Linked DNA regions of Neodiprion lecontei. The protein of the gene in region 1 purifies or fractionates together with the protein of each later gene. This does not show direct contact. Links are inferred from orthologs where the notes say so. Each region holds a gene or a part of one and is shown on either strand. Other genes may lie near its edges. The genes, in order: neurogenic locus Notch protein and protein disabled.

Region 1 (4,942 bases):
TCCAGTATCCCTTGATAAGTATTAGCTTGTCATAATAAAATTATTAAATTGGCACTAATATAGTTCGCGTTGCGCGTGAAGCACGAGGATTACGTAAGATGGGAAAAAAGAATGTAAAAAAAGAAAGAGCAAACGAAATTTATATTAATTTGAACATCTATCTTCGGTTTGACATAATGTATCATTATTTATTCATTTCTCAAGGCTCAAATGTCTATTATTAACGAGCTTAAATTACCTTCATTAATTGTGTATACACACGCGATATCTCATTATATCGAACTGGCTGAAACAGTATTATAATGTAATGTATAATAAACATAAACGCTTCGTCCATAATTAGTAGTTAGGTTGATGTCGCCAAGAGCTTCTACATAGTTTCTATTTTAAACGAATTTTCAAACTCGAACAAATCTTTAAATTAAAGAATATCATTGCAAGACAGAGTTAATACTGCACTCAGAAAAATAAAGTGAAACTGAAGCAAATAAATTTTAGTTGCGTACAAACAAATTAAAAAATTTATCTGTAACGCATAAATCTTTACTTGAAATAATGAAGTATTCCATTCTCATAAATTTATATTTAGTTGACAAGATTTCATTTCAACTGTCTGAAGTAAAAAGATTCTTCAAATTTAATTAAGTCGATATTTACTGTAACAAAATTTTTAGTGAGTTCATATAAGATAAAAAATTTAGCTGCTTTCAGCAGCTATGCACGTTTAACTTCTCTTTTCTATGTTTTCAGAGTAAAAAGGAAGTTATTGTAATAGCTCCGAAAATGAAAAGTTGAGTTCTCACTAGATCTGCACGTTTTAAAATCTAGAGCATCACGATTTTAATGTTTTTGTCGCAATTGATGCGATTTTTCGAAACGTAGATCGGATTATATTTCGGCTTTGATTGGTTCATTACATGTCGAATTATTTAAATAACAATATTCTTACAAATAGAATAGAAATGATACCTTGAAAATGGGTGAACAAATTTGCATGATCATTTGTGTCATTACTTTAGATTTTTATGTCGCAAATCACGAATCTCGAGTTAAAAAAACTAAAAACAATTGGATTTTGATGAAAATTTATACTTGAAGGTTTTTTGAGTCGGTGATCACGAATCAATGAGATCTGTAAATTTTTCATTATTAATATCATTCTTATTATTTCAGCTCGAAACGAGTTTGCAAACGGCAAGTTGAAAGGCTGGCTCATGGTCAGCCGAAACCCGCTTGTTCTTGGTGCATCGCGAATAGGATTACATGTACCTAAGAATCTGATAATCTCATATAAAGAAGATCGTATGAAGATTGTATTTCATTGAAGTGTTCGATAATAAACCAACGTATATTAATATTTGTACAAGAGTTTATAGCCAAGCAGGCCCTTCGGAGGCAGCGTGCGGCAGGATTTTTTGTCCCCCGCGGCATAAATGGAGGCGGTGTCACGTGACGGAGGTATTTAAACGATACGAGGGGACCGAATGAGAAAAAAGCGGAGGGCTGCAGGGCGTCGAAAACGGGCACTCGTACAATTTCATAGCGTAGTTCGAACGGAACCGTAGAACGCATCAACCCCTCGATTGGACAGCGGGATTGGCAGATGGTGTCGGCCATTTTGTGATCGGCGGAGTGAGACAAGCGTTCTCGCTCGAGATGCGCGCGCCGTTCCGGGACTACTTTCAGCGCGTGAAGTGAACAATAGAATCCCAGACGAGTTTGAGCCGCGGTCATGTTCGTATATGAGGTCTGTGTCGTTGTTTTGCTTCACGTTGTTCAGCTCGCGTAATGTAAACACGCCGCCGGAGCAGCAGCAGCAGCAGCAGCAGATTGAAGTTACGATGAACATTGAAGTTACCCGGGTGTTAAACGATAATGGACTGTAGCCGGTTGCACTGCACGGTATCGCATTATGTTATTATAGTGATTAAGTGATTGTGTGATCAATTGTCTGATGTGTGTGATCTCTGTGTGGATAAATTCTCCGCCAACATGCTCCGTCTACAGCGGAATATGGATTACGCATTGACGATCGTCGCTCTGGCTCTTTTCGTCGCCAGTCTGCCGGCCTCGGTTCACGGTGAGTTTATTCTCATCGAATAAAACGGAAGAATCCTCCGTAGTCGTCACCCGGAATTTCAAGTTCCCCCTTAGAATGCGCGTGTGCGGAAACAAAAAACTCCCCGTCGCGACGGCAGCTGCAGGCTGTGCAACAGGTCTGAAAAGCGACGCGGGTTTCTCCGCGCCGGCGCGACATTTTCGAACGCGCTGTCCTACTTAAAAACTCGAAAACACCCCAAAGTCGGCAGCCCGGCTTCGCCGAGCGAATGCCTGCCTCAAGTATTCCTGCATTAGCATTTCAGGGCGCGTCGCGAGGCGTCGAGTTGCTGCCATTCCACTACTACCTGTCCCGAAAATATACCCGAATAAACCGCCACCTCGAAAATCTCTTGATTCATCAATGTAACCGCAAGCATCCGGTTTTTCCATTCATTCTGCGCGATGAAAACAAATCTGACATTTTCTTTTTCCCTTCCGCCGCGTGCTTCAAATTTCGATCAAGCTTGATCAAAACCTCTCGCCGAAGAGCGATCTGAACTTTGCATTTAAGCTTTGTCAAAAGTCACGGTAAACCATAAACTTACGTTTAAATATTCCACTCAAATTAAGTGAAAACTTGAGTTTTCTATCAAGCTTGATCGATCGAAATTTCTACCGTAACATTACATTTCGCCCGATTCTCACCGAACACGCAACTAAGGCATTGAATAATTGAATACATAACGAATCGTTTTACGATTCCTGAATGAATTAGAGTTCGAGTTCCTCGCTCTGCGCAAATTCGTTTTTACGACCGGACCGGCTTTCAGCCTCACGCACAGCTAGTCCTGCTTGCCTGAGCGAGTGAGTGCTTATAAAATGCCGAATACACGAGTCACGTGGTCGCGACAGCGGTTCTCAATTGAAAAATCGTCTCGCGTGTGCGTACCGGCTTTTTCCGTCACAGGTTGGGACTCCCTGTTGAAACGACAGGTGTTCAACCCCACTTTCCACGAAACGAATATCTTTCTTGTTGGGTTTATTACGTACACGTATATGTATATGTATATAGACTTTATTGAACTCGGGCGTTGATATCCAGGTGAAATTTTACACTCACCGCATTATTAGGACCGTTTAAAAATCTGATGAATTTTACAATAAACTCAAAGCAAATCGTTTCCCAAATTTTATTTATCCGTAATTTTGTAACAGGAAATATATCAGTTTTGGAACAACTTTCAAATTATTTACAAAAGTCGGATTACCCTTTTTCCAGATTACGCGTTTTAAGCAATCGTTATATTTCCATATAACACAATCAACCTTCTACTTGAATCGTGATAGATAAAAATCACTCACGCTATTCCAAAATATGAACTAAATATAACTTGACGTTCAACATTTTCAAAACTCTTTTATAAAATCAACTGTAAAATCACCGTCGTAAAAAATATACAACTTGGAAGTTGCAAAAAAAAAAACAAGATAAAAAAATTAAAACAAGAACTATTGCGTGCTATTATCCCTCCTAAACTTTTAATTACAGTCAGAGCAACTGTATTTCATGTGAACGTTTCATATTCTACGGCGTTAACTTTTACAGTAATACGCGGTACAGAAGAAAAAATTCGTTATAATTGTAGCGTCGTTTCCGGTGAATTCCGGCGAGTGGCGAATGCGTTAATGCATACAATAGACCCGTCCCAGCCGGAATAAAGAATCCGAGAGAAATGAAGCGCGAGTAAACATGGCGCACGGTGGTTCGTCTGCGTGTCGGCTGGAATTCTGAGGCGAAATAACTAGGCCTTGCTCCTCGCCTCGGTTTCCATCCATGCCTTCCTTGCGCCCTGGCTTACAATTAGCTTACCTGGAGTCCGTCTCTCCGCTGCATCTGTGTATATGTGTATATATATACACACACATATGCGTATACATATGTGTATATACTCATAATCCACATTCACTCTAGGCTAGACCAAATTTACGGATGTGTTGAACTCGTATTGTATATAGGTATGTAATACCGATGCCGCACAGAGGTTGTCGGAGTCTCAACAACTACGGAACTATGTTCTCAGGCTTTCTCTTCTCTCCTTAGAAACCTATCTTCGCCTCTCCCATTGCCGTGTGTCTTATATATAATGTAGGATTATGTGTATTGTTCTCTATACATGTACGATAGATTTTGACCATTATTGATGAATAAGTTGAAAATAAGTATTAGTCAGGTTCGATGAATTGATTCAAATTTTATTCACAGTCGTATAAAATATAACATACGATACATGATCTTTGTTCAATGATTGGAAAATTTTACAAAATCTTTGTCATTATTTTTTTTATTAGAATTGATTATACAAAAGTAGTGACAGAATAGTTTTTTTTCTTTCTTTCTTGGGTGAAACTGGTGTGATGGAATTAAATTCCAAGTTGAATATAAAATTATGCAATCGTTGAAAAGATTCTTTGGGTTTTTGAAGTTACGTGTAAGAAGTATTTTTTTTCTCCATCTTATGCGATAAAGTTAACTGGCTGATATAATAATGATAACGAAATTCTTGAAACTGTAATGTAGACTGCATTTAAGTATGTGTTATATAATAAGATGGAGTTGAGAACTATTCAAAAACATCGATATAAGAGCATTGTGATAATTCAATGCATAGATATCCGAATGGTCAGAGCGTAAGATTTGGCGAAACCGGAGGTCGAGAGCGTCGCCTAGCTCTGAATCAAGTTGGTCGGGTTAAATTTTACACATTCTGTAATACTTATGTATTTTATAATGAAAGGCTCCGACGCCAGTTCGATTCTTTAATATCATTGTGGGAACTGTATGCAACAATTCGTTGGTTGTTTGTTTTCCATTGGTAAGGGATCAATGAATTCTGAACGGAAT
Region 2 (5,256 bases), on another chromosome or scaffold:
ATATTTTTGCAGAGAATTGAACGCTCTTCAAAAAAGGTCTCTTATCATTTTATGATAAATTTATTCCTCAAATAACCATCAACCGTTCGAAAGAGTGAATTGTTAGGAATTAATTTATAAAAATTTATTTTTTATTTTGAAACACCGTAATTTATATACTCACTTGAGCTCCGTTAACAATGGACTGAAATCCGGATCCGCATAGACGATTTATTCCAAGGGCGGGTCTGTCCAGAGGAATTCCACTTTTGAGGAGAACATGTCTTGGGAGAAATGCTCCGTCAGACGATGTGTTCTGGAAACGTGTTGGAATGAGATTTGAGAGATGATTTTATGGAGAGACAACGTTTACCGCAACGCAACATTCGCGAGTCAAATTTTACGTACCACCAACACGTTTCCGATTACGACACTGTCGATCTGTTCAGGTTTCAATCCACCTGCTGTTATCGCTGCCTTTGCAGCCACTTCCTGAAGCTCGATCGCAGACTTGTTCACGAATTTACCACCCAGTGTCCCGAAAGGGGTTCGCTTCGCGGCGACGATGAATATTCCTTAAACAACGATAATACGGTTATTGATTAATATATATGATCTCGAGAGCTTTGTCGATTTTGAAAATTGAACGAGGATAGTTATTCCGAGTAGTCGATTGGATGGTATTTTTTTTTTTTTTTTTTTTAATCACAAGCTCGACAATCGAAGTGAATTTTAGCAGGTATAAAAAAATCGAACGGATGCGGTAGTATTTTACTTTTAAAAACAAACGGTTACAAACGTTTGAATATTAATGAAAATTGAACGATCGCTGCTCCGCAAATATGTGAAATAATATCTTCAGATTACTCAATTTTGAACTGTAAAATTTGAACGTGTAATCATTGACGCAATTTTTATCTTCAATTTATGTTGTTATTGAAAATAATCTCTGATATCTAGTATCGGAACGCGTTCAGCATAGCAAAGTCCACGGGGTATAATTAAATACTCTAGATAATAAAAGTAGTTACAACAATACACGATACGTTTCAACGTGTATTATTATTTCTATTACGTGCAAAAGGTGTGGATAAAATGGTGCTAAAATTGAATCACAAGAACATCTGCAAACGGAACGAAGCTTAAACAAATAATACGACTCGTGGTCACAATTTCGAATAATACGTTTCACACGTAACGTTTGATAAAATGTGAGGTTGATCAAAATTATCTCTGGAAGTTCGCGTCTGAAGTCAATTGGAGTAAAGTAAGAATCTGAATGAAATAATAAAGTTAAAAAAAATCGTTCCGTTTGCTGTGGCGCAATATAAAATTCCATAGTCTAGAGTTCGAAACATTGCGCAAACTCATGTTACATTACACATAATATATCATTCGAGTTAAAATAAAGTCACGCCAAGATTACGTTACAATTTGAATGACAGTTAATGAGTTTCAAATAACAAGTCTCACTTGATCAAAATGGAAATGCTTCCGAATCGGGCGGTCAAAATATTGGCTCAAACGCGTTCCGCGTATCGGTCAAGGAATAAAAGGTTTAATCGAAGAACCTCGACTGACAATGAGTGGGAGTGACGGAAAAATGAAAAATAGAAAGATCGAAACGAGTCTCGATGGTGAGTTTACACTCGTTGAGCCAACAGAGAAAAGGAACAGTTCTGTGAGTTAATCCAGCCGTCGAGACGAGTCTGCCACTCGAGTGGCTCTGAGAAGAACCTCCGAAACGCCCTAATTCGTCAACTCAGACAATTTTTGGGGACTTGACCGAAATTGATATAATAAAAGAAAGTATCGTACCTTTGGTGGCGATCGACATGATTTCTGTTTTCTGACCTACGTTGGACTAACGCGTTAATCAGAGAAGTTGAGTCTTATTACAAGCCATCAAAGGTCCAAAGTCCACGCAGGCTCCCCACTATCCAATATGAAACGTCGTTTACTGTGTTTCGCATACGTATCTTCACGGCTACGCTAGCGCCTTGAATTCCGTTGCGGAAATTCCGGCAGCTAAATTCAGCTGATGAATTCCTGGTCGTGGTTTTAAAAGGTTTTTCAAACATTGCTTATTTTTTTTACTTTAAACTTGATTGAACAGTGTTTTTCTTTTATTTTTTATTAATTTTTTTTTCGTTTTTACTAACTGGCAATAATATATTAAATTTAAAGTTATCGTTGTACCATTTTTTAATCAAAAATTTGCGGTCCGTTGATATTCGGATGATCGAGCCGTTTTAGACGCGGTCGGTAACTTACCGACACGTATTATACGTGACCTGCGTACGACGGATCTACTCCGTTATCTCCTCGACGGATAAAAAAGACGCGCATACGTGAAGATTTAGCGAAAAATCGGAGCGATAAAACGGGAGATTATATTCCCGTGGTTGACTCGACAATGCGAGAGGAAATAAATCGGACAGCGTGCAGGGAGTCTATGAAACAACCCACCTCAAGCATACCTGTGTGTATACAATTGAAAGAAGGCGTGGATCGCGTGATTTGGAACGCAATTTGAAATTGTGTGGAAGAAAAGGCGCGCCTTCGGATGGCGTTTTCAATGCACCTCGTCGGACAAACGTAGCCGCGTTGCGTAATCGCTAAGCGGTCGAATTCACCGCAACGGTATTACGGCGATGCGGTGTGTATAGGAGCGAATTATTTCACCAATTGATTTCAATAAACCGCGTGGGCCAAAGCAGTGGCCATTTTGTAATTTCCCGGTGCAATCAGCTTGCGCGGCGTCTCGCCCCGAAATATCTTGCGGAATTCGTCTCTAGCCGCGGCTGATCCACGCTCTCGAATTCTCTCACTCGCGGAAAAAAATTCGCGAACAATCGTCGAAGACGCGGATTGGACAGGCGACGCTTTCGCGGTTCGAACATTATACCGTGCATGCCGAGACGGATCCGCTCGGTACTACCGCTCGACTGTATTATTGATCAATGGGGTTGCGGGCATGGAAGGAAGGCCAGTGCCGGCAGGCAGCTGTCAGATCCCCCTAAATTTCCACACGCTTATACAGCCGTGCCGCGGGCTTGATTATCGGGCCTTCAGGCCAGCCCGAAATTTTGGGCCCCGCGAGCGAAAGTCCCGCGATTTAGCCGCGCGCGATATTCCTCGATTGTTTTTACCCACGGGGTTGAAATTTCGCTCGGTGGTTGTGACGCGGTATGGTTATTGTGATTGTGCCTGTGACACACCGTGCGAATCCTCACCCTTTTCGCGATCAACGGTTAAGGCGGCGAAACTCCGAGGATATTCAGGGCTCTCGGACCTGCGGTATCGAGCTTAGCGATGAATCGGTGAACAGGAGGAGACTAGGGACGTGAAAAAAGAGAGAACCGCAAGCTCAGGAACACCGAGACGCAAAAATTGCAGGCTTTTTGAACGGACGTCGCTACGCCGGTGGCCTGATGCAGACCCTAAGGAAGAAGAACAGCCCCTGCAAGTGTGAGTAGATTTGCAACAGAAAAAATTCCCACTCGAATTTCAAAATTTACTCATCAAACGATATCGCATCCGTGTAACAACAATTCGCATTAATTTTTCGGTTCACCCGCCGCTGCGCTAAATTATACGTGCAGTTTTCATTTCGTTACATACTTCGTTGCAGCGTCTATTTCCGGTATCTCGTTGCGTATCGCAAGCGAGTAGGTTCAACGCACCTTTCGTCTGGTAAGTTGAAACCCCGCAGGTGGGTATAAGGTGTTTAATTACACCGAGCCGTTTCTATTCCGAGGAGATCAATTTTTATCTTATAAAATAGTTAATGCCTTCGGCGGCCCGCTCGTTCAACCTACGGCGGAGTAAGCCTTTGGCAGGCAACTGTATTTCCAACTCTACAACGTGGATTTAGTTCCATATCTCGTTGACAGACGGCGCCAGCGTGATATTTTCGCTCGCGATCAGGTTAAAGCGGCAAACGGTTCTCAACTTGTACTTTTACCGTCATTCGAATTTCAGTCACTTTCAAAGTGCGGCGATAAGATTTCCTTTTCTTTTTTTTTTTTCTTTTATTTTATACTCCTCAAACCATTTCGGAACTGCTCTACATTTTACGGTTTTGTTTACCGACTATAGTTTAATATACAAAGATGACAAAAATGAATTAGAAATTTATTGTCTTTCGAAACGATACTCAATTTTTGTATTTTTAATTTGTGAAATCATTCACTGTCTTCAACTCTTTGGCGAAAAACTGTCGAATACCAGCTAATTCTGTAAAAACGAAAAACACGAGGATGCGATACTTTTTTGCCAATCTGTATCGATCTTCTTTTATTGACGAGAAAAATCATTTTCTTGTTTGATTAGCTTGATCAAAAAAGCTAAGAATTGTTATGTTTCTCGAGACCTTGAGCTGTCATTAAACATAATAATCATAGCAACGTATTTAAGCTGAATAATTATAAATATGAATTATTATTTTCCCATGCATTTACCGAATTTAAATACTGCTCACGATCTCTCTCTATCTCTTTTTTAGTTTTTTTTTTTGATTTTTAATAATTCTCACCTCATTCATTTGTTTATTTATTCACTCACCTTTTTATTACTTTTTATTTTAATTTTGTGTTTTAATAACCATCTGACCTCATAAGTATGTCCCAGGACGTATAAACGCCTCTCTCTGTCTCTTTCTTCAAAAATGAAGAGATTATGTTCCTGAACGGATTTGTTAAATTTTTATACACTCCTCGAAGCCTCGATACCTCATATAAGCTGTTCTCGAGCTGAGGAAAGCGAATTAGTCGAACGCCATGAAAGCAGATGAAATCAATTGTCAGCATTTTCCTTTTCCCTTTTCCTTTTCTTCGTCTGCTCTTTATTCCCTTTCTCTTTTACACGGTCAAGTGGCTCGCCGCAATCTCTGGAGCGATAGAGTATCTCAATTTAGGCACGTTCCAGGCATTGCCGACGTTTTATATATTACATATGTATGTATACATATATACATAGCTATCATGGGGTTTCGTGCACCCTGTGTCATTATACACATCCGTTCGATGACGTGGTTTCCGTTTTCCAACGATGTTATTATACCCACCTGTCGTATTTTTCCAACCCTCCATTTTGCCAAGGCAATTAATTTGTACGCTTGTTTGACATTGGTTCGTAAAAAAAAAAAACAAATCGATTCATTTTATGAATTTTATCTCGTACGATAATCGTACGTTGAGTATTGTCTGTAAAATTATTGTACTTTCGTGAGCTACTGGGAGGTATCTTTGAAAATACAAAAATTAGACAAACCTG

Evidence for each region.
Region 2: the proteins of neurogenic locus Notch protein (region 1) and protein disabled purify together in Drosophila melanogaster (affinity purification with western blotting; 4 studies listed by BioGRID). This does not show direct contact. The link is inferred for Neodiprion lecontei from reciprocal best matches to the Drosophila melanogaster genes N and Dab.

What each region holds. Positions count from the first base shown.
Region 1 is NC_060261.1:15,201,751-15,206,692, reverse strand, and holds the start of neurogenic locus Notch protein, read left to right. Parts: upstream 1-1,735; 5' UTR 1,736-1,992; coding exon 1,993-2,080; intron 2,081-4,942. UniProt on the Drosophila melanogaster protein: Essential signaling protein which has a major role in many developmental processes. Functions as a receptor for membrane-bound ligands Delta and Serrate to regulate cell-fate determination.
Region 2 is NC_060264.1:4,777,166-4,782,421, forward strand, and holds the start of protein disabled, read left to right. Parts: upstream 1-2,086; 5' UTR 2,087-3,413; coding exon 3,414-3,450; intron 3,451-4,462; exon of another isoform or gene 4,463-4,465; intron 4,466-5,256. Other genes in the region: 3-ketoacyl-CoA thiolase, mitochondrial, read right to left, coding at 164-295, 388-554, 1,798-1,816. UniProt on the Drosophila melanogaster protein: Together with Abl, involved in embryonic neural development. May have a role in eye development. Acts as an adapter protein for SH2-domain containing proteins during sevenless (sev) signaling.